Xenopus tropicalis: one gene and its partner. The protein of the gene in region 1 interacts with the protein of each later gene in a biochemical or structural test. Links are inferred from orthologs where the notes say so. Each region holds a gene or a part of one and is shown in the gene's direction. Other genes may lie near its edges. The genes, in order: ppp2r1b and ppp2r2a.

Region 1 (10,737 bases):
TGGTAGGCATGCTCAGTTGGATTTAAATCATGAGTCTGGCTTGTGCATTTAAGAATTTTCCATTTTTTAGCTTTGAGAAAATCCTGTGCTGCCTTAAGTATGTTTGGGATCATTTTCTTGTTTCAGGATGAAGGGCCGTCCAATGTATTTGAAGTAATTTACTGGAACTTGAGCAAATCAGATTTTTCTTTACTCCACAAAATTCATTGTGAACCAGCAGTTACATCATCAGTAAAGATAAGTGTGCCAGTACCTGTGGCAGCCAAACATGCCCAAGCCATAACACCCTCAACCACCACGGGCAGTTCCTTTTTCTTCTACACACTTTCCTCTTGCTATCACTCTAATACAGGTTACTCTTGGTCTCATCTGTCCATATCAACTTTTTCCAGAATTCTGCAGGCAAGTACTTTTTTGCAAACTGTAACCTAGCTATTTTTGTGGCTAACTAGTGGTTTGCATCTTGCAGTTTACCCTTAGTATTTCCGTTCGTGAAGTCAGTGGATAGTTGTGGATAGTAGTCTCTGACACTCATACCTCATGAAAAGTGTTTCTGATCTGTTGGACAGGCGATTTTTCTTTACCATAGTGAGGATTCTTCTGTCATCAGCAGTGGAGGCCTTCCTTGGCCTATCAGTCTCTTTGCGATTACAGAGCTCATCAGTGCATTCTTTTTTCTTAATAATAATCCAGATAATTTTGGTAATCCTAAGGTTTGATTGATGTCTCTAAGGGTTTTATTTTTGTTTTTCAGCCTCAAAATAGCTTCCTTGACTTTCCTTGCCACAGCTTTTCTCCTCATGTTGAACAAAGGCAACTACAGACTCCAATTGGTAGAAGCAGCCTAGGTATCTTATCTCTACACTAATTAAGCAATGCAACACACCTGAGTTACCACAAACACCTGTAGAGCCAACTGTCCCAAACATTATGGAGGGCACTGTATACGGGCCATAAAGCTGCCAATTTGGTATGGAGTTGGCAGCGAATGTCAGCTTGTGAAAGGGCAGCTTTATTCATCGTCCTAAAATATGTGCATATAAATGAATATACTGTAAATATGTAACAAATTAAGTTTGCTTCTTTATTAAGAACTTGCTCATTTCTTTGCCTGCCATTGCCCTAAGGGTGAAGACACACGGAGCTACTTAGTAGCAGCTACTTGTCACTACTACTAAATGCCAAAGAATACCCCGCCATAGACAATACAGAGAATTGCCTCTGCTAAAACACACAGAGACAATTATTAGTAATAATCAGGATTGTTTGTTTTAGTAGCCGTAACAAATAGCTGCTACTAGTAGCTCCATGTGTCTTCAACCTTAAGGGGGCCTGCATCTGGGGCATTGTAATAATCATGTATAAAGACAACTTTGGGCAACTGCGGGACATTGCAGCGACGCGTATGCCATCCCACCTGCAATTTACATTCTAGCCGGAGGGATGGCATTGCGGGGAGATTAGTCGCCCACGACAAATCTTAGGTGTCTTCAGAGGAAACTTGGGGTGACTGCGGGATATCGCAGTGACGCGTATGCCATCCCAATGGCAATTTACATTCTAATGTTTTTTTTAGTACACCCTGACTTACTTTTTTCAAATTTTTTTCCAGTTTTGCATTTTCCTAATTGTGAGGGGGGATTTTCTATTGTTGTAGGTCGTCAATTTCTAAACACTGTTACTTCCCATAACTTCTTTATTATGTTTGACTTAAATAGAGAGATATATAACGGTTCACATAACATAGAACAAAAACTTTAAAACTGGATTGCTTGGATGGGTTTTACAATGAAATATTTACATAACAGTTATATAAAAAGCAACAAATAATGAAATAGGATGGTCACTTTACTTATCTGTCTCACAGATGGTAAATGGACCTTACTATTATAAAATACATGTAAATCCTTTGCCCCCTTTGCCACAGTGACTCCTATCACAAAATACATTTCACCCAGACTTCCTTGGCAGCAAAGCAAATAGTGACATGACAAACAGCATTTCCCAGTTCTTACACATACAGCAATATAATGCCAATTGCACATTTGCATTTTATTTGCAAGTACTAGAGATGAGCTAGCTCATTTAATAAAGTGTAAGCGGAAGAGCTGGAGCATTTAATGAGCACTATATACTAAGCACCTGCATTTACTCCTTGCACAGTGCAAAGGGGTAAATGCAGGCATCAGTCTTCTCTTGTGACAGCACCAGGAGCCACTATGTCAGGCCAGGTACAGGCACACGGAGTGTTTTTGGCACTGAAATGCATACTTGAACGTTTTGGTGAAATCTGTTCCGCATGCTTGCACCTGGGCAAACACAGTGGCTCCAGGTGCAGTCACAGGAAAAGGCTGATGGCAGCGGGTTACATAGCTGCTGTAATTGGCAATTTTCCTCTATGACTGTATCCATATATCTCTCTATGTAAGAGATAATTATCCAAGTCTGCTCTTTCTGTTCACAAGAGAAGCGGAACATATTAGGACTGACACAGCAGTGTAGCTAGTATTGCTTTTTTATGTATTACTTTATTATGAAGTTTATACTATAATTTCAGTGGTTCATTTATAAAACACATTAGGGATCATTAATGTCCACAAGCACTGTTGGATTCAATGCAATTTCCTTGCAGGCAGCTGCATGCAAAAGCTTTTTATTTGCACCTCTTGGTCCCTCCTGCCTTCAGTTTTGTGCTTGCGAAGGGAGCCCGGGACCTACCGCCTGGTTAGGGGGCTGGTGTAGCTTCAGGGTTTTACTGGGTCAGTAATAATAAAAAAAAAAACACAAATACAAGAGTATTGTAGAAATGATACCTATATTGGCTAACAATAAAAATACACTGCAAGCTTTCGGAGCTCTAAAATATTTTGCCTAACACAATACTACAGTTTTTGTTTTGTGATTAACTGTGTCAGTAGACACAGCAGTGCCCAATTTGAAATGAAAGGACTGGGCAGCACCAACTAAGTGCAAGGAGCTCATTTTAAAGTACATACCTATAATAAAAGCAAAACTGACTGTGTGGAAATTGTCAAGACCCAAACTATACTTGCAGATGTAACTGCAAGTATAGCTATATCTTTATACCTTGTACACTGCAATTGTCATGCGATAGTCATTTGCCAAAACCATTTTTGTTATAAATAAATGTAAAGGGCTGTGTAACCTGCGGACACTATATAATAATTCAAGATCATGACCTGTGCCAGCTGTTAAGTAAATCTCTGTGCCAGTCTAGAGTCAGGTCACCTCACACTAAGGGGCTGATTTACTAACCCACGAATCCGACCCGAATTGGAAAAGTTCCGACTTGAAAACGAACATTTTGCGACTTTTTCGTATGTTTTGCGATTTTTTCGGATTCTTTACGAATTTTTCGTTACCAATACGATTTTTGCGTAAAAACGCGAGTTTTTCGTATCCATTACGAAAGTTGCGTAAAAAGTTGCGCATTTTTCGTAGCGTTAAAACTTACGCGAAAAATGCGCAACTTTTCGCGTAAGTTTTAACGCTACGAAAAATGCGCAACTTTTTACGCAACTTTCGTAATGGATACGAAAAACTCGCGTTTTTACGCAAAAATCGTATTGGTAACGAAAAATTCGTAAAGAATCCGAAAAAATCGCAAAATACCGATCATTACGAAAAAAACGCAATCGGACTCATTTCGACCCGTTCGTGGGTAAGTAAATCAGCCCCTAAGTATAATGACACATTTTAACAAAGCAGAGATATTATTTTAACCAAGTGTTTTCTAAGAATAAAATTATGGTGTAAAACATATGGCATTAGAAATAGGCCAGTAGGCGTGCCTGGGGTCAGATGAATGTTCCTTGCCTACAGTCTAGCAAAGCAAAAGTTCTGTGTCACTGTTACTAAATACATGAATGAGTTCATGGCTTTCACAGAGGTTTATCTGGAAATCCGCCAGACCCACCCAGCTCACAGGCAGTTCCCCCCAGACTTCCCCTGATCAAAGCAAACACAGTCTGCTAAATATAAATAGACCTCTGGTCACTAACATAAGGACTATGCAGAGCAGCACATCTGTCTGGAAATGAGGTTTACGCCTTATTAATATAACTATGAGGACATTTAAGCACAGGTGCCGCGTCCCCATTCCGCACCTCTTTGTAAACCACTACACTTCCCAGCAGTTCTATAGCGTTGCATTGTTTATAAAGAAGCCTAAGCGAAAAGGGGCGTGTCAGTGACCTGGTTTATACCGCCAGTGTCGTCATATCCGCTTCAGGGCCTGCGTCTTCTCTCGGCTTCATTTCTAGGCAGGAAGTGGCCGGCGTGCCGAGACAATAGGACGACATTATACCGGTGATAAGATGGCAGGAGCTGACGGTGACGATTCGCTTTATCCCATTGCGGTGCTTATCGATGAGCTGAGGAATGAGGACGTACAGGTGAGGCGATTATACCGCGGCTCAGTTCTGTGTTGAGCCCCCTAGCGTGTCAGTGGTGCAGGGCACACCCATGGAGGGGCTGCGGTGGCTCTGCGCATAGCGTGTGTGTGTGCATTCGATATTGTCATGGCAGTTTTAGCAGTTGTACAGGAATGTTCTTTCATATGGAAACCTTGGGCTTCTATCTGTTCCGAGTTCTTTTACGTTCCATTGGTTCCGCTGGAGTGCTCTGGTGTTGGGATGATGCTGCAGTTCCCCGGGCTCGTACCATAAGAGAGCATTCAGATCATGCTGGGAGATTAGCGGTTCCAGCAATATAGCGAGCAGCGATTGTGCCAGTCATTGTGTTCTCAGCCTTGTTTCTCTAATGCCTGCTATGCAACGGCCTTAAATAGCGACTGGCAATTACATACATGTAGGGGCATCCCAGTAGCCATTCATTTGGCATGTGTTGCCCCTCAGCCCATTTTCTTGTCATCCTTGTTACATTGGGAAATGTGGGATTTCTTGTAAATAAAGGATTACAAGCCATGCTTTTACAGTTGGTATTCCCAATATGTATTCTTCTTTAAGGCTTTTTTTGTAGTTTACACTGTATTTAGACAAATATTCTACTCTTTCAAACTGTTGTTGTGACATCGTATTGGCAATAGGCCTTTTTTGTCAAAATCCTTGTATTCTATGGCTGGGCAAATCATTTAAAGGTCAAGGAAACCTAAATTCATTAGAGGGGTGCCAATCTGCTAAACCCCAGATATCTATCGAACAGGTTTGAAAATCAGGAAGGACCACATCAGCATGTTGACAAGGCCCACTCCCGATGGGTCTGCATTGGCCTAGGTCAGGGATCCCCAACCTGTTTTACCCTTGTGCCACACTGAAATGTAAAAAGAGTTGGGGAGCAACGCAGGCGTGAAAAATGTTCATAAGGGTGCCAAATAAGGGCTGTGATTGGCTATGTTTACTGGTATCCAACAGGAGGCTCTGTTTGGCAGGACACCTGGTTTTTATGCAACCAAAACTTGCCTCCAAGCCAGGAATTCAAAAATAAGCATCTGCTTTGAGGCCACTGGGAGCAACATCTAAGGGGTTAGGGAACTTGTTGCTGGCAAGTAGTTGGCAATATTGGTGTGTATTTGCATTTAAGCTGGGCCGGTGTGTGGGTTCCCCCCCCCCCTCAAAATAATCTCTGGCCCAGGGACCACACTAAACTATGTATTTGACTGGGTGTTGCCTAACATATTGCCACCCTTAAGTGAATTTGGGTTTCCTTGTACTTTTAACATGCTTTAAAAGACTGCCCATAGTTCCTGCTAGTATGGGTGCTGATTATTTTTTTTGATATTTTCAGGGTTTTATTAGTTGCAGAATTTATTCAAAGCAATTTTAATAGACAATTTTACATTTTATGTTCTGTCTTTTTGTTGGTATTTGAACCCCTTAGGCTAATGTGTCACACAGTGTTTCGACCATCTTGAGGTGGAAAACAGAAGCAGTCAAAATGCACACCCCTAACTGCACTGTCTCTAGTCTTTTGGAAGTACTTTGCCTGGAGCAATATTCCCTTTAACCCTTTCACTGCCAGCGGTTTTGGTCAAAGCGGAATTTCTACTGCCAGACAGTTTTTGAACATTTTGCACTGTTTCAGTTTAGGGGCCTTTCCTCGGGTGGACTTTTAGTTTACCCAGGAAAACAATATATTGTTTTTTTTCAGGACAACCTAAGCTTTCAAAATATGGTAGATTTTGGTGTAATTCCAACTCTGTGACAAGATATAGGCTTCTAAATGTCTAAAAATGAAAAAAAAAAATCACATATATTAACACACATACCAGAAACAAAAATACAACTGATTTGGAAAGTCCCATGTCTCCTGAACATGCCAATACCAAATATATATAGCTTTATGAAGATTTCTCACTTGTATAGGTCAAAAACTCCCAGCAGTACACTACCAAATTTTGAAAGCACTGCTTCAGAAAGCTGCGTAATTTAGATTTCAAGGCCAAAAATCCACTAACAGAAAATTATACATTTCTGGAAAGAACAGATTCTGGGGAATCCAGAATAGTCACAACTGTCTGTCTACTCCAAACTATCAAGTCGCAATGCTTTCCTAAATTTATTATTATTATCATCAAAATTTGTGACATTTTTAAAAAAATCACTTCAAAGCTTCCACTTTGCAGCATTTTATCTCCCACATAGCATTAGGTACCAAGATAAAACACCCTAAATATGAACGCCAGGGGTCCACTGAACAGTTTAATGCCCAATATGTATAGGTTTACCCAATTATGTGGCATGTAGGGCCCCCAAAGTGAACATAACACCATATGATCTATCATTTCTGTCATTTCAGCTCCGGCAAAATCAACACATTTACATCATTATATGTGGGATAAAGCTAGTAAAAAGTACGCTCACCCCAGAAAATCATATATTTTTTGGAAAGTACACATTCCCCCGAATCTAAAATGGGTACCCATGTCTTTCTACTCCAAAGTACCAATCCGCAAAGTTTTTCTAAATGTAGCAATTTTGATGACATTTCCAAAAATCCCCTCAAAGCTTCCACTTTGCAGCATCTTATCTCCCACATAGCATTAGGTACCAAGATAAAACACCCTAAATTTGAACACCAAGGGTCCACTGAACAGTTTGATGCCCAGTGTGTATACGTTTACCCAAATATGTGGCATGTAGGGGCCCCTTTTACATCTTTATGTGGGATAATGGAAAAAAAAAGTACACTCACCCCAGAAAGCCATATATTTTTGGAAAGTACACATTCCCCTGAATCTATAATGGGTACACATTTCTTTTTACTCCAAAGTACCAAGCCGTAAAGCTTTCCTGTTTGCCGATTTTTATGACATTTCAGAAAAAAAAGTTGCAATTTGCCGCATTTATCTTACACAATTTCTTGCATACAGAGGCAAATCACCCCAAATAGAAACACCTAAGGTCTACTGAACAGTTTGATGCCCAATATGCATAGATATCCCAAAGTCTGTGGTGTGTACTGACCCCAAAATGAAAATAGCGCATAAGTTATTTTTCTGCACCAAAATTACACATGACAAAGCTATGCTAAAAACAGTATTAGTATTACTGATCTGCTACTGACTGCTTCAGTCTTCATCCATACGCTGTTGGCAGTGAAAGGGTTTAAGCTGGCCATAAATGTTAAGATTTTAAAACAATCTTAGTTATCTTAGGACCAAGCTTATCTGGAATTGTTTAAAAGTATGATTTGTCCATGAAAAAAATGACCATTTCAAGCGATATTGTCCAGTTGAAGCTAGTAAAACTGCCTGCTTGATCCTGCAAACATTTGGACAATGACAAAAATCATTGTAAACAACAAAAAATTTCAAACCTGCCTGATTTTAGATGAAAAAATGCTATATGCGTGATTGTTCAGTGCCCTTATGATAATTTGTCACACTGAACCTGGTCAGTAGGGAGAGAAAATTCTTAAAGGAACAGTAACACCAAAAAATGAAAGTGTATAAAAATAATTAATATATTATATACTATTGCTCTGCCCTGCTAAAAGTTGTGTGTTTTCTTCATAAACACTACTGCAGTTATATAAATACCCTGCTGTGTAGCCATGGGGGCAGCCATTTAAATTGAAAAAAGGAGAAAAGGCACAGGTTACTAAGCAGATAACAACAGATAAGTAGCATAGATTCCCATTGTATTCTACACAGTTTATCTGGTATCTTCTTATGTAACCTGTGCCTTTTCTCCTTCTTTCAATTTAAATGGCTGCCCCCATGGCTACACAGCAGCTATTTCTATTAACTATAGTAGTCTTTCTGAAGCAAACACGCAACTTCTACCAGTGCAGGGCAACAGTACATTATATTTTAATTATTTTAAAACATTTTTATTTTTTAGTGTTACTGTTCCTTTAATATGTATGGCCACTTTAATTCTGTCTTAGTTATGGGCTCAAAAGAATTAATTTTTAATTTGTGTGCTCAGGTCAGAATAAATACAACTTTTGTGTTTTTGCACAAAATTTTTTGTGCGCAATTTGTTGTGTGTGGTGGCCTCAAAATGTATGTGTGTGCACAGCTAAGAGGAAACATTGACCTAAAGCACTTTATTACAGTTTTTCTTCCAGAATATCCATTCTCAATGAAAATGGTTATGTTAAAGGTTTTGCTTCTGAAAGCTGCATAACTATCAGTTTGTTAACTTTCTATTCTCTATTAATGGTTTTATTCATAATGGAATACTAACTTAAATTGTACACACCTTTTGCTTGTTTAATATGCAGGAGGGGAACTAGTTAAATTACTAGTCCATATTACTACCCCTTTGCATATTGAGCTGCTTCTTAACTCAGAGCCTAAGAGTAATAACCGGGTGCTCACAAAATGCTGGAAAAAATAGGCAACGGTTATCAAGCAAACCCTGCCCTTGCACCTAACCGTATGGTGAATACTACGCAGAAACACTTGCTGACCGTGTGATTACCTTTTTGTCAAGACAAAGGTATTTTCCAGCCTAGGGGAATGGTACATAGTGTTGTGCCACTCTAGTGAGTGGCATGACAGTCTGTATTCACACTGCTAACACACCCCACATCTTGTGGCACACAGGGCAATATAAGTGTCACGAAACTTTCGTACTTGGCGCGACAATACGATTTTGTCACATAATTTTTGACACACAGTTGAAAAAGTTGCGCAAAATAGCGACTAAATCGGCAAAAATACGCAAGGTACGAAAATGAAAAAAAATTTTGTATTCAAAGGCAATCGTACTTTGATAAATGGGCCACATTGAGTCATATTGATGAACACCTTTAGGCTTTCTAGTAATTCAAAAACTGTATGCTGCTTATGCATAAGATTTGCTAATGGGGCATTGCACTGTTTAACTCTTCTTCTAGCCAGTGAGCTGTACGCAGACATGAGTTTCAGGATAACCGGGGCATTGTCATAGGGGGACCTTTTGTAGCATAGCACAAACATTAGTGGCACCCATGGTTGTGCTTTCCTAATCAGTTGTGAAGGTGCACTTATACAGCAAATTAAAAAAAAAAAAGCGAAAAACGTATGTACTGTGGGGCATCCAGTTCAGTAGAACCCGCTAATATGTCATTTGAAGCCAGAGAGTGGATTCTTATTGGCACCTAGGCATTAAAACTGTTCTTGTCTACATAATGGAGAACTGCATTGCCCATGGTTTGGCAAACACTGAGCTAGGAGGAAAGAAAATTTGTGTATAGAAAAATTGGTTGAATGGCACTGCCGCTCATGGGGTGTAAAGGTGGCCATACGCTGTAAAATCTGCTTGTTTGGCCACCTAAGGTTGAATCTGCCTATGGATGGCCACCTGATGGTCCAAGTAACCGTTTTATCATATTCATTTATTATTTTCCTCACAGCTGCGCCTCAATAGTATCAAGAAGCTGTCCACCATCGCTCTAGCATTGGGAGTTGAAAGAACCAGGACTGAGCTTTTGCCGTTTCTTACAGGTGGGTATAGTAATGGACGGAATCATGGTCTGACTACCCCCATATTGGGTGTGCTTGCCCCTATAACTGCATTCAGTTGTCCTCATAGATGAGGTAGATGGTTAGAGGCAGAGAAAATCATGATTCAAGGCAGTGCAGGTTTAAAGCCGTGCAGCTCATGCCTTTCCTTAGTCTTTCATTTGCATTATTATCCCCATAACTGCTGCCAATATGATTATCGGTACGTAGTTCAGTGAGTACATTACGCTCAAACTTTATTTAGGCGTAAAGCCTCATACATCTGAGGTAGATATAACCTATTTTTCTTGTTTTATCAACACAAGACAGGTCTGTCAATCTACTGGCTTGTGTTATAATGTTTCAAAAGCCAGAGCCACTAGGGCAAAGAATAGAAAGGACAAGGCAGACACTGCTTTAAATAGCATTTATATATACAAATAAATAAAAAAACCATTAAGTATTTGTAGTTGAGCTGCTCCTTTTAAATGAGCAGTTTTTGCCATTAGATTAATGCTTAATGTTTTAATACATTTTTTGTTGTGTTTTTTTTAAAAAAAATTTGGAGATTGAAGCTACTTCATGTTTGGTCCTTGTGAGGTAGATAGATTACCAGCTGTTATATTCCATCTGCCTGTACATGTAGTTTTCAGGGGGGAATAAGCTATGGTAGACAAGTAAACAAGAGGATCAGGAGCATAGAAACACGGCTTTATTTTTACTCTTCCCAACCACCATTCAGGGTAACTTTTACACTCTTGGAACTTTCGGGGCTTCTCGCAATCCCCAGTAACCTGCACGCTAGGGGACTTGGGCTTCTTACA
Region 2 (10,502 bases), on another chromosome or scaffold:
TATTATTATTGTTACTTTTTATAACTTTTTTTTCCAAACTGGAGAGTTGCCAAACAATTATGGAAGTAAAAAAAACTACAAACAATAAAAAATTAAGACCAATTTGCAAATTGTCTCAAAATATTACTCTCTACACCATACTAAAAGTTAACTCAAAGGTGAACAACTCCTTTAAGAATTCTGCTGCTTTATTATACATTTTACATAGACAGGGATAATTCCATAACACAAATGATCACTGCTCCACTTTATAGAAATATTCCATATTCACAAAATATATTTGTTATTGTTTTGCCTTTCTTGGCATTCTGCTAGAAAGCCATCCATCATTCCTCAGCTTACTCTTTGGATTTTCCCAACCAGATATCTAGGGCTGGTGCGTGAATTTTTTCATACATAAGCAGGGCTGAGATGGCAGGGGCCCACCAGAAAACCCTGGACCATGGGCCCACTCTCAAAACTTTAATTCCTCCTCTCCTACCTCAAACTCTTTATTCTCCAAGTCCTCCTCCAAGTCTTCTTGTTCCCATACAGAAATAGGGAATGACCATGAAATAGGCTAAATAGAAGCAAGAGGGCCCACTGACACCTGGACCCACCAGGAGTTTTCCTGGTATCCCGGTGGGCCAGTCCGACACTGTACATAAGCCCACTCAGGTCAAGTCTTGACAATATCAGGCCCAGACTGACAATCTGTGAGTTTTGGCAAATGCCAGAGGGGCTGCTGTAAGATGCCATAGACACTCACTATTTATTGGGCTGGGGGGGGGGCTGTTTGGACCTCTGTGTACTTGAAATGCCAGGGACTATTTTGAATCTCAATCTGGAACTGGTCCAACCATCTTGGTACATATGGCACATTCTCTAGGTGAGCACAACAGAGACCGTTTCCGCACACCCTGGCTCTCCAAAATTGAACGCCCGGTGCACTCTGCTAGAGGGATCGGCACCCTCCCAAAACTGCAAAGCAACAAAAAGCAAAAGCACTCAGGGCTACAAGGGAAAACCCTTTAGAAAATTTATTGCGGAGGTGCAACGTTTCGGAGCAAACCTAGCCCCTTGCTTGATAAAGGGGCTAGGTTTGCTCCGAAACGTTGCACCTCCGCAATAAATTTTCTAAAGGGTTTTCCCTTGTAGCCCTGAGTGCTTTTGCTTTTTGTTACATTCTCTAGGTGCCCAAGCTGATTATAATAGAAGGCCCATATAAATAACTAGAATCACTTTTTCCATATTCCTCTGGCCCCCAACCCTCTCTGGAGATGTTGCTTGGCAGAGCTTCATGCGATGGCAGCTATATAAGAGAATACCCAGGATTGTACAGTCTTGTAGCAGGTGAAGAAGCCTTAGGGGCCTATTCATTAAAGTACGATTGAGTCTGAATACTAAAAATTTGTATTTTTTACGAACTGTGCGTATTTTATAAAATATTTTCCTTAATTTCTGCAACTTTTTCATACTTTGTGACAATTTATGCGACAAAATCTTATTTGTTGCAGTGAGTATGAAAGTTTTGTTATTCAATCAAGCTTCGGTATGGTGACTTTCCTTGGGCCGGGTTGGAGCTGCAGAGTGCCATTGAGCCCTATGGGAGACTTTCCTTGGGCCGGGTTGGAGCTGCAGAGTGCCATTGAGCCCTATGGGAGGCTTTCCTTGGGCCGGGTTGGAGCTGCAGAGTGCCATTGAGCCCTATGGGAGACTTTCCTTGGGCCAAGTTGGAGCTGCAGAGTGCCATTGAGCCCTATGGGAGACTTTCCTTGGGCCGGGTTGGAGCTGCAGAGTGCCATTGAGCCCTATGGGAGACTTTCCTTGGGCCGGGTTGGAGCTGCAGAGTGCCATTGAGCCCTATGGGAGACTTTCCTTGGGCCGGGTTGGAGCTGCAGAGTGCCATTGAGCCCTATGGGAGACTTTCCTTGGGCCAGGTTGGAGCTGCAGAGTGCCATTGAGCCCTATGGGAGACTTTCCTTGTGCAGGGTTGGAGCTGCAGAGTGCCATTGAGCCCTATGGGAGACTTTCCTTGGGCCGGGTTGGAGCTGCAGAGTGCCATTGATCCCTATGGGAGACTTTCCTTGGGCCGGGTTGGAGCTGCAGAGTGCCATTGAGCCCTATGGGAGACTTTCCTTGGGCCGGGTTGGAGCTGCAGAGTGCCATTGAGCCCTATGGAAGACTTTCCTTGGGCCGGGTTGGAGCTGCAGAGTGCCATTGAGCCCTATGGGAGACTTTCCTTGGGCCGGGTTGGAGCTGCAGAGTGCCATTGAGCCCTATGGGAGACTTTCCTTGGGCCAGGTTGGAGCTGCAGAGTGCCATTGATCCCTATGGGTGGCTTCCAAAATCATGCACCGAAGGATCAAAGTCAGAAAGTTTTTTGCGCCATTTAAGATCGGTCAGATACGAAAATTTTGGAACTTTCTAAGCGTACCATGATATTTTTGTATGACCACGATCTGAAATTTTTGCGCTTTTAATGCACATCAGAAATTATCAGATTTAGTCCAAATTTTTTCTAATGTACTTTTAAAAGTCCGAAATTTAGACTTTGATAAATGGGCCCCCAGTGTAGCTACTGGGCATGTAAAAGTGTAATTGCCACTATGATGGTCAGGTAGGATATGCAGAACCAGGCCCGGATTTGTGGAGAGGCCACGAAGGCCCGGGCCTAGGGCGGCAGATATGTAGGGGCGGCATGCCGCCCCGCCACAACAGAATTTTAAAAGTTTTTTTCAATACAGAGCAGTGAGAACTTCTCCCCACTGCTCCATATGGGGCTTTAAATGTATGCGCATGCGTGCTCGCACAGGGGGGCGGGGTGAGCGGTTGTTCGCTCGTTCGCGCATGCACGTTGGGGGGGTGATCAACGGGCGTGGCCTAGGGGTGCCCAAAAGACAAATCCGGCCCTGTGCAGAACTCCTTTTCATCCCTCTGCAAGCCCATAGCTGATGCTGCTTCTACCATCAGGGTGGGAAGTGGACAACATGCCAGTAGGCAGTCGGTCTGATTGGGTAAAAATATGGGATGCTAGTGGGGTTCATTCAGTTAGCCCCCTGAATGTAAGTCTTTTGCCCACAACATGCCTACTTTTCTACCCGTGCCCACACAGGAGGATTCATTTTACACAGGTTTTGAACTGGCAGTCAGTATTCCTTAGTCTTTTGTCTTAAAGGCAGACTGGCCTACAGCATACCAGAAAAAATCCCGGTGGGCCCAGGAGTCAGTGGCCTTCTTGCTTCTATTTATTTATCCGATTTGATGGTCATTCCCTATTTCTGTATGGGAACATGGAAGTTAAATGGATGGAAGAATAGAGTATAGTATGCAGAGAGACTAGGATAATAAATGGTTTGAAGGAGGAGAGGATTATTTTTATTATTATTAACATTTATTTATAAAGCGCCAACATATTCCGCAGCACTGTACAATAAGTGGGTTACATACATTGGACATACAGAGTAACATATAAAGCAACCAATAACCGATACAGGAGGTGGAGGGCCCTGCCCAAAAGAGCTTACAATCTACAAGATGAATTAAAGTTTTGAGAGTGGGCCCATTGCCCAGGGTTTTCTGGTGGGCCCCTGCCATCTCAGTCCGACACTGCAACACCAGTCAAAAAGTAATTTTACATGACATTTTAAAGAGGAGACTACTGTCAGAGTTGGTAGGTGTGGGTTAGGTGTGCTGGGTTTACTTGGATGGGTTGAACTTGATGGACACTGGTCTTTTTTCAACTCTATGTAACTATGTAACTATGTAACTATGTAACTAAGAGTTCATGGGGGATCATGACGACACGCCGCACACAACACTGGGACCCATGGTGTTTAATACTAAAGCACAAGCCCAGAGACGCAGATTTCTCTCAGTGGGCTAAGGGCCAGTTATTGTTGAGCCCCACACACAGCCCTTTCCCAGTCACTGAGAGAATCCCTCACGGCACAGAGAGAAAGGAAGAGGCGTCAATCACAGGGACAGCGTGACGTATTGGCCCCGCCCCGCCGGCCGCTCCTCCCCTTTGTCTCTACCCAGTGACGTCACCGTGCCTACGGCCTCCATCTTGAAGCCGCGGTCTCAGAGTCCGGTCCTCCCGCCCCGGGCAGCGGCCTCCCCCGGTATCCGCCTCCATCCGGAGCCCGGGACCAGCAGTGGCCAGGGGCAGCATGGCGGGTGAGACAGCTGGAATGGCGGGGATGCATGGAGGGGGGCATTTGTAATGGCCGGGTACAATTGGCCAGTGTTTGGATGCCGTGTGAGGGCTGTGCAGCGGGGAGGCGCCGGCCTGTTCCATTGCAGTAGGGATGCTCAGCCTGCCCGCAGTGCCGGGGATAGCAGGGGGCGGCCATTAGCTGGCAGTGCCGGGGGGCTAATAGAATGAGGGCTGCATCCCCTGCAGCTGCTTTTGTGCTACCTTCCCATTCAGCTGCCGGGCGGGGAGTCGCAGTGCAACAGCTGGAGGGCAGCAGGCCGGCCGTGTAGTACAAAAGCAGGGCGTCCCTCCTTCTAGCAGCCCCTCTCCCGGCTTTTCCCACCTACCCCCTGTGGGGGCAAATCCCTTTCTGTGCCCAGGCCTGTGAGTGCTAGGGTATCTGCCCTCAGGCCTGGGCTACTGGAAGGGCCACAAAGGCCCAGGCTTAGGGGGGTGGCCACCCCATTATTCTCCACATTAATTACATTGCAAACAAGGGCATGGGGGGGGCAGCTGTCAAATCTCTGTTATAGCTAGCCATGTAGCGAGAATCTGCCGAGCCAATTGGGCTTCTAGGGCAAGGAAGGTAAGTTTGGCTCTGATTACCATTCAAATCAATGGAGAATGGTTGCCCATTGATCTGGAGATGGCATGGCTGGCAATCACCTTGTGTGTATCATTGCCCTCAAACCATCCAGCTGCTGAGGGTGCCCCCGTATCCTTGTAGATCATGTAATCAGTGTGGGAGCCATCTGAGCAGCCACCCTCTTTGTACATAGAGCTGTGTGGGCCAGCGGCCGTGCCGGGTTTCTGTGCTGTGTGGGAGGTACGTACAGGCCACACTGGCGCTTTCACTGCTGCACTTTGTTCAACTACATCTGCAACAAAAGGGAAAAGAATACCCCAGTTGTCTGGGAAGGTTTGCATTCTGCTGAATCTTTCATGTCATGTGACTTGAGAGTAAAGGAGAACTTAAGCCTACACATTTTTAGTCCATTTTGCTCATATTTGAATGCAAATTAGAGGTTAAGTTTAGTTAGCGATTGGGCAGAACCTGCTATGAGGGTTTTATGTATTTGTCCAGAAGCACTTGATGCCATTTACTGGTTATTAGATGAATGCACCTATGTATCATCATGCTCGGCGCTCAGTGTTGTTAAGGAAAATATTTGTGTTATTAGCAGGGCTGGCACAGAATGTCCTTGTTCTTTAATGTTTAGTCATGTGATTAGTACAGCGTTAATTAGTGTGAGCATACACGCAGGGATGTATGTATTTACTAGGGTGGATGTATGTATGCAAACATTCACGTGTCACAACAGAAAGGGAGCAAATTTTCTTGGCGTGGTGTTGAATAAACATGATCTCTTGCCTACGTCAGAAAGATGCCTCCCTGTTTAACCTTGTGAATGAGGCGCGTATTCCATCAGGTGCATTGTGGGTAGGCGGTTTTTAGAGGCCGGCTTAGAGCCACACTGGGTGAATTTCCAGTAATAATTATATATAGTGAGAAGTCTCCCAGTATATGTCCAGCCCATGCTTATGGAACCTGCCCTGAAGCATTCACTTCTGTGCTCTCCTGATTGGCTTATTTAGGGCAAAACTGTCCAATCAGATATGGTCTGGTTTCAAGGGCTCCATAGAATGCTTTGTATGAACTCCTCATTTAAATGTACGTACCACTCCCCTCCACACACACACGTTAAAAGTTGCACAGCTCTGATTTAGGGTCAATGGAACTGTGTAGCTTGTACACCACAAGGCCATTGGCATACGATGCTTCACTGTGCCACCTGATGTGAATGGAAACCGCCTGTAACTGCTTGTTTCAGACATTGTGTGGCCTTCATGTTGGTGACATTGGGCACAAAGAGATATTGGTGTATCTGCACTGATAATGAAGCGCTATTACCCCAAAGATAACTTTCTAATCCGCAGTTACTAAAGCAACTCCGCACTAAGTAATGGTAGGCTTTATAGCACTGTGCCGGGCAACTCACATTCTCTGCTGGTCACTAGGTTTTAGCAACAACACCAATAGGTATGAATTCAGGTATCCAGAAGTACAACTGAAGGGCACTGACTGACAAGCAGTTTCAATATACATCTGTGAAAAGTGTCTTGTACCTAAAGTAAGAGCGCCATAAAATGATTTTGCTGTTGGGGCCCAGTAATTACCCCAGCAGGGGGACAGTTTAGAAGGGTTATACTTGCTGTTTTTAACACAAAAAAGTACTATAGAAAGCCTAGGTGGCCAGCCATTGTCATTCAGCTAAATGTTATTAATTAAAAAAAGCCAAAAATGCTTTATCATCTGAATTAGGCCTATTTTGGTTTAATTGTAAAGGAGTAGATGGCAAATGTTAGGCACACCCAGTGATTGTAATCATGTACCTGATACCCTGGGCAGCTTCTGGTAGCAGAAAACTGCCCCAAGCCAGGGTACTTTAGAAAAATCATTCTACCTGATCAAATCTTCTCCACACAGGGTGGGCTTGCGCAGTAGAGTGAAAAGCTGAACTATTGGCAAAAAGCCGACTTTCTCACTCTACTGCACGTGTCAGCTCAGCCTATAGAAGAAAGAAAAAGTGGAAGGAGGCAATCACCCCATGGTCCTTGCTCAGAAATACCCCCAGCCCGTGCAGTTTTCTGCTAATAGGAGCACCAGCCCAGGGAATCACAGGCACCCCCCTCTCATTTAACCTCTTCTTCTCCTTTAATGTTGCCAAAATGAATTTTCAGAATAAAAAAAGCAAACATTTAACAGTTTGCATACCCCAAGCCCAAATAAGAGGCCCCTGCGCAGCAGTCGGATATCCTGTTCCCAATGTGCAAACAGGAGATGCATCCTTTGGCCCTTCAGTGCACATCTCTCTCCAGATGCCTGTTGCCTCCAGTTATTTGCTTATCCACAATAAATGCTGTATTCTCTCCTGCCCTTTCTTCCTTATCTGACAATTCCGCTTCCTCCCTTTGTGAGAAGAACGCAGACAACTCAGTGCCACTTTCTTTTCCTTATGTAGCTCACCCACACTGTAGCCATGTAAAATCACCCTCAGCACAGAGCCCATGATAAATAATACTTGGCACCTAGGTTACTATATCCCAACACTCCTTATAGGATGAGGGTTTTTTAAACCTGTAGCCAGTCAGCTTTGTCTGCATACCCCCTGTCAGGCCCTCGAAATCATTGGCTGCCCATTTACAAGAAAGGTCTTCGCTGGCATCCCACAGAGTGCTGCCGAGAGCAGCCAGTGGTGTCAAGTGGTTGGGTTAAGTAGTAAGCTTTTTAGGAGATTAAGCAGTAAAATGGAAAATGCTGCTTTTGGCACTGTATGTCCGCTTGCTCACACTTTTCATGCATACTGATCCCTGTTTGACTGAACTTTGTGATTGCTTGTCTAATGGTAGGGCCTCAAAATGATCTCATGCAAGGACAAATGGCCCTTATGGCAGATACACGTGATATATACATGTTAATAACCCTTTTCTAAGCTAAGGGTGTCCCAATGAATGTTGTCTCAAAGGAACAGTAACACCAAATAAAGAAACTGTATCAAAGTATTTCAAATGTAATGTGTGTGTTGGTGAAAGTGTTTGCTACTATATTTATATAAATACCCAGCTGTGTAGCCAGTGGAGCTGCCATTCAAGCAGGGGAAAAAAGGAGAAAAGGCAAAGGTTACATAGCAGATAACAGATGAAGTCCAATTATATTCTACAGAGCTTATCTGCTATGTAACCTGTGCCTTTTCTCCCGTTTTCCAGCTTGAATGGCTGCCCCCCTGGCTATAGAGCAGGGTATTTATATATAAAATATAGTAGTTTTTCTGAGGCAAACACACCAGTTGTGCCTGCGCAGGGCAGCCATACCTTATATTTGAGATACTTTGATACAGTTTCATTTTCTGGTGTTACTGTTCCTTTAAAAGGGGCTTCACCAGGTAACCACTCCTGTAGGATGTAGCATACATTATGCTGGGATACTTTTAGGTCATCTTATTTTACATGGTTCTTTTTAATGTAATATTGAGTGATTCTAAAGTCTAGAAAGCATGAAGTTCCCAGTATATATATTGTGAAAGTGAAATTCCTGCTGCATGTTGGCGCTTGGCAGAGTGCAGATCCAGTTGTGCAGCTGCAGCCGTTGTGCCATGCTAGGAGGCGCCTCCTTGCTCCCTCTCCCGAGGCTGGAGGAGTTGTGAGAATGAGACTCAGCTCCTTCCTGTGTTGGCGGAACTAGAAACAGTCATTGTGAGGGTGGTGCAGGATCTGGGTGAATTGCGGCTGTGTTCCCAGGAGCAATGTTCCTGAAGTTCTCCCCACGAGCTGGCTTTCTGGGTAGCCTTTAGCACACTGGATCTTTGTGCCTGGGGAATGGGTTGGGGCAGCAGTAGGCTTTCTCATTTCTCTTAGAACTTTTCCTTTCTTTCTTTCCCTGCATGATTACACTGTCACTTTCTTGCACACCAGGAGACGTAAAAGTCCTTTTTATGGCTCGTATTGTTGATGTTGGTTACAAATTAGGGAGCCAGTGGTGTGTGGAGATTTTTGAGGTAATTGGGTGCCTTTTGAAGTTGAAGAAGTTTCACTTCATGTGAAATCCGAGTGGGGCGTAGGCAGGTTGTAGCATAGTAGGTTTTGGAGTCCCAGCCATGCAGGAACATGTTCATGTCTAAATTCATTATTTGAAAACGTCATGTAGGCATGCAGTTCAGCGAGCGCTTCAGTCACTTTGCTTTTTGCAAACTTTTGCTTTGTGGCCCCAGAGAGGTGGAGCAGCCTCTTCTTACTATAATACCATTCTCCTATTGTCTTTAGCCTCCTGTGGTCAAGCAGTTTATTTTCTACAGCATCTTTGTGGGCTTGCTCATAAACAACTGTGAGTAATGGCCCTGACATTTCTCATGCTTGCGTAGCTGCTCAAAAAGGTGCCATGAAAAATGAACTTGTTTTAGAGGCAGCAGCAAAGACAAACTAGAGACTTCTGAATTATACGTGTTATTTAGGAACCATACTGGGTTCTTGTGGCTCCATTGTGCCATTTATGGGGTGATTTGCTTTTGAGGTCAATCTATGCCACCTTTTTAGCAGTGTGTTTGCTATGGGGCTTTGTGCTGCTGTGATATTTGTGCACGTGGTTAAGCTTCTGGGTGCTGTCATGTTTCTTTTTACGTCTCTGTACTCATTCTACTGCAAGTCTCTGTCCTGGCTTCCAGGAAACACATTAAAGCCCTTGTGTATAAATACTGCCTCTCCATTGTTCCTTAGCTTATACCTTTCTTTCCTTCCTTTCTTTTATTCCTCTGGCCACTACCAAGAAGAAAATATTAAAACACCAACCCTTCTCTTTATCTGTCACATCCATTATGTCAGCTCCAGACAAACACATTTCTAGTCCATTAATTCCTGCATTGGCTCTGATTTTCTCTATCTGATGGATAACTACTGACCGGCACCGCCGATAGCTCAGGATTCTTTGGTTTGTGCTCAGCATCTTTGGTTCAACAGACTGCCTAGCACAGCTTCATAGTGTTATCTCCCTAGACCCCTATTTATATGGGAAAGTGTCTGCTTGATTGTTGGGGTAGACTGTCATGGAGGTGATTACAAATGTCTTACACTAATTTCTATTCCATCTTGTAGGAGCTGGTGGAGGCAATGATATTCAGTGGTGTTTTTCTCAGGTCAAGGGAGCAGTGGAGGATGATGTATCTGAAGGTAAGTCTCTTTCACTTGAACCTTCTTGAGTAGGCCTGTAAAATATGCAGTGTTTCAGCTCCCAATTTTGTGTAAGAGCATATGGCTCATGGAAGCACATGTATGAAAATAGAGTGCTTTATTCCTTTCAGCCCGGGGTGACATTATTTGGCATGGTAATAGGGGGGGCCCAGAGCTCCACTGAATTTATACAAGCAAGCCTTGTATAAGGGCCAGTTTAAACATCACTCTGCTGGGCTGCTTTACATCAGGGAGTTGGGCCCCTTGTTAAAACACAAGGAATAATTAATGGTGCAAAATACAGGTTAAATACTGCAGGAGACCATGTTCCAGTCTGCTAAAAGCTAAACCTTGGTGGGGAGGTTCTTATTTCAGTGGGACTATGATCCCAATCACAAGGCAAACTTACACTGGAGTCCGTATCCCAATACAATTGGGAATATGGGGCACAAGACAACTAACCTGAATCCTACTAACAAACTGATTCACCTATTAAAAAGGAGCAATGGGGAAGGAGAACAATTAGATGTCAGCTTTAAGATGGTCAGTTTTACCTGTTTCTACTATGCACCATACATGCATTAATGCATTAAGTAATTGTTTT

The links.
Region 2: the proteins of ppp2r1b (region 1) and ppp2r2a form a complex in vitro, tested with the Homo sapiens proteins (2 studies listed by BioGRID). The link is inferred for Xenopus tropicalis from reciprocal best matches to the Homo sapiens genes PPP2R1B and PPP2R2A.

The regions. Positions count from the first base shown.
Region 1 is NC_030683.2:84,354,867-84,365,603, reverse strand, and holds the start of ppp2r1b (serine/threonine-protein phosphatase 2A 65 kDa regulatory subunit A beta isoform), read left to right. Parts: upstream 1-4,279; 5' UTR 4,280-4,337; coding exon 4,338-4,415; intron 4,416-9,825; coding exon 9,826-9,916; intron 9,917-10,737. UniProt on the Homo sapiens protein: The PR65 subunit of protein phosphatase 2A serves as a scaffolding molecule to coordinate the assembly of the catalytic subunit and a variable regulatory B subunit.
Region 2 is NC_030679.2:127,955,901-127,966,402, forward strand, and holds the start of ppp2r2a (serine/threonine-protein phosphatase 2A 55 kDa regulatory subunit B alpha isoform), read left to right. Parts: upstream 1-4,024; 5' UTR 4,025-4,151; coding exon 4,152-4,158; intron 4,159-9,823; coding exon 9,824-9,898; intron 9,899-10,502. UniProt on the Homo sapiens protein: Substrate-recognition subunit of protein phosphatase 2A (PP2A) that plays a key role in cell cycle by controlling mitosis entry and exit. Involved in chromosome clustering during late mitosis by mediating dephosphorylation of MKI67.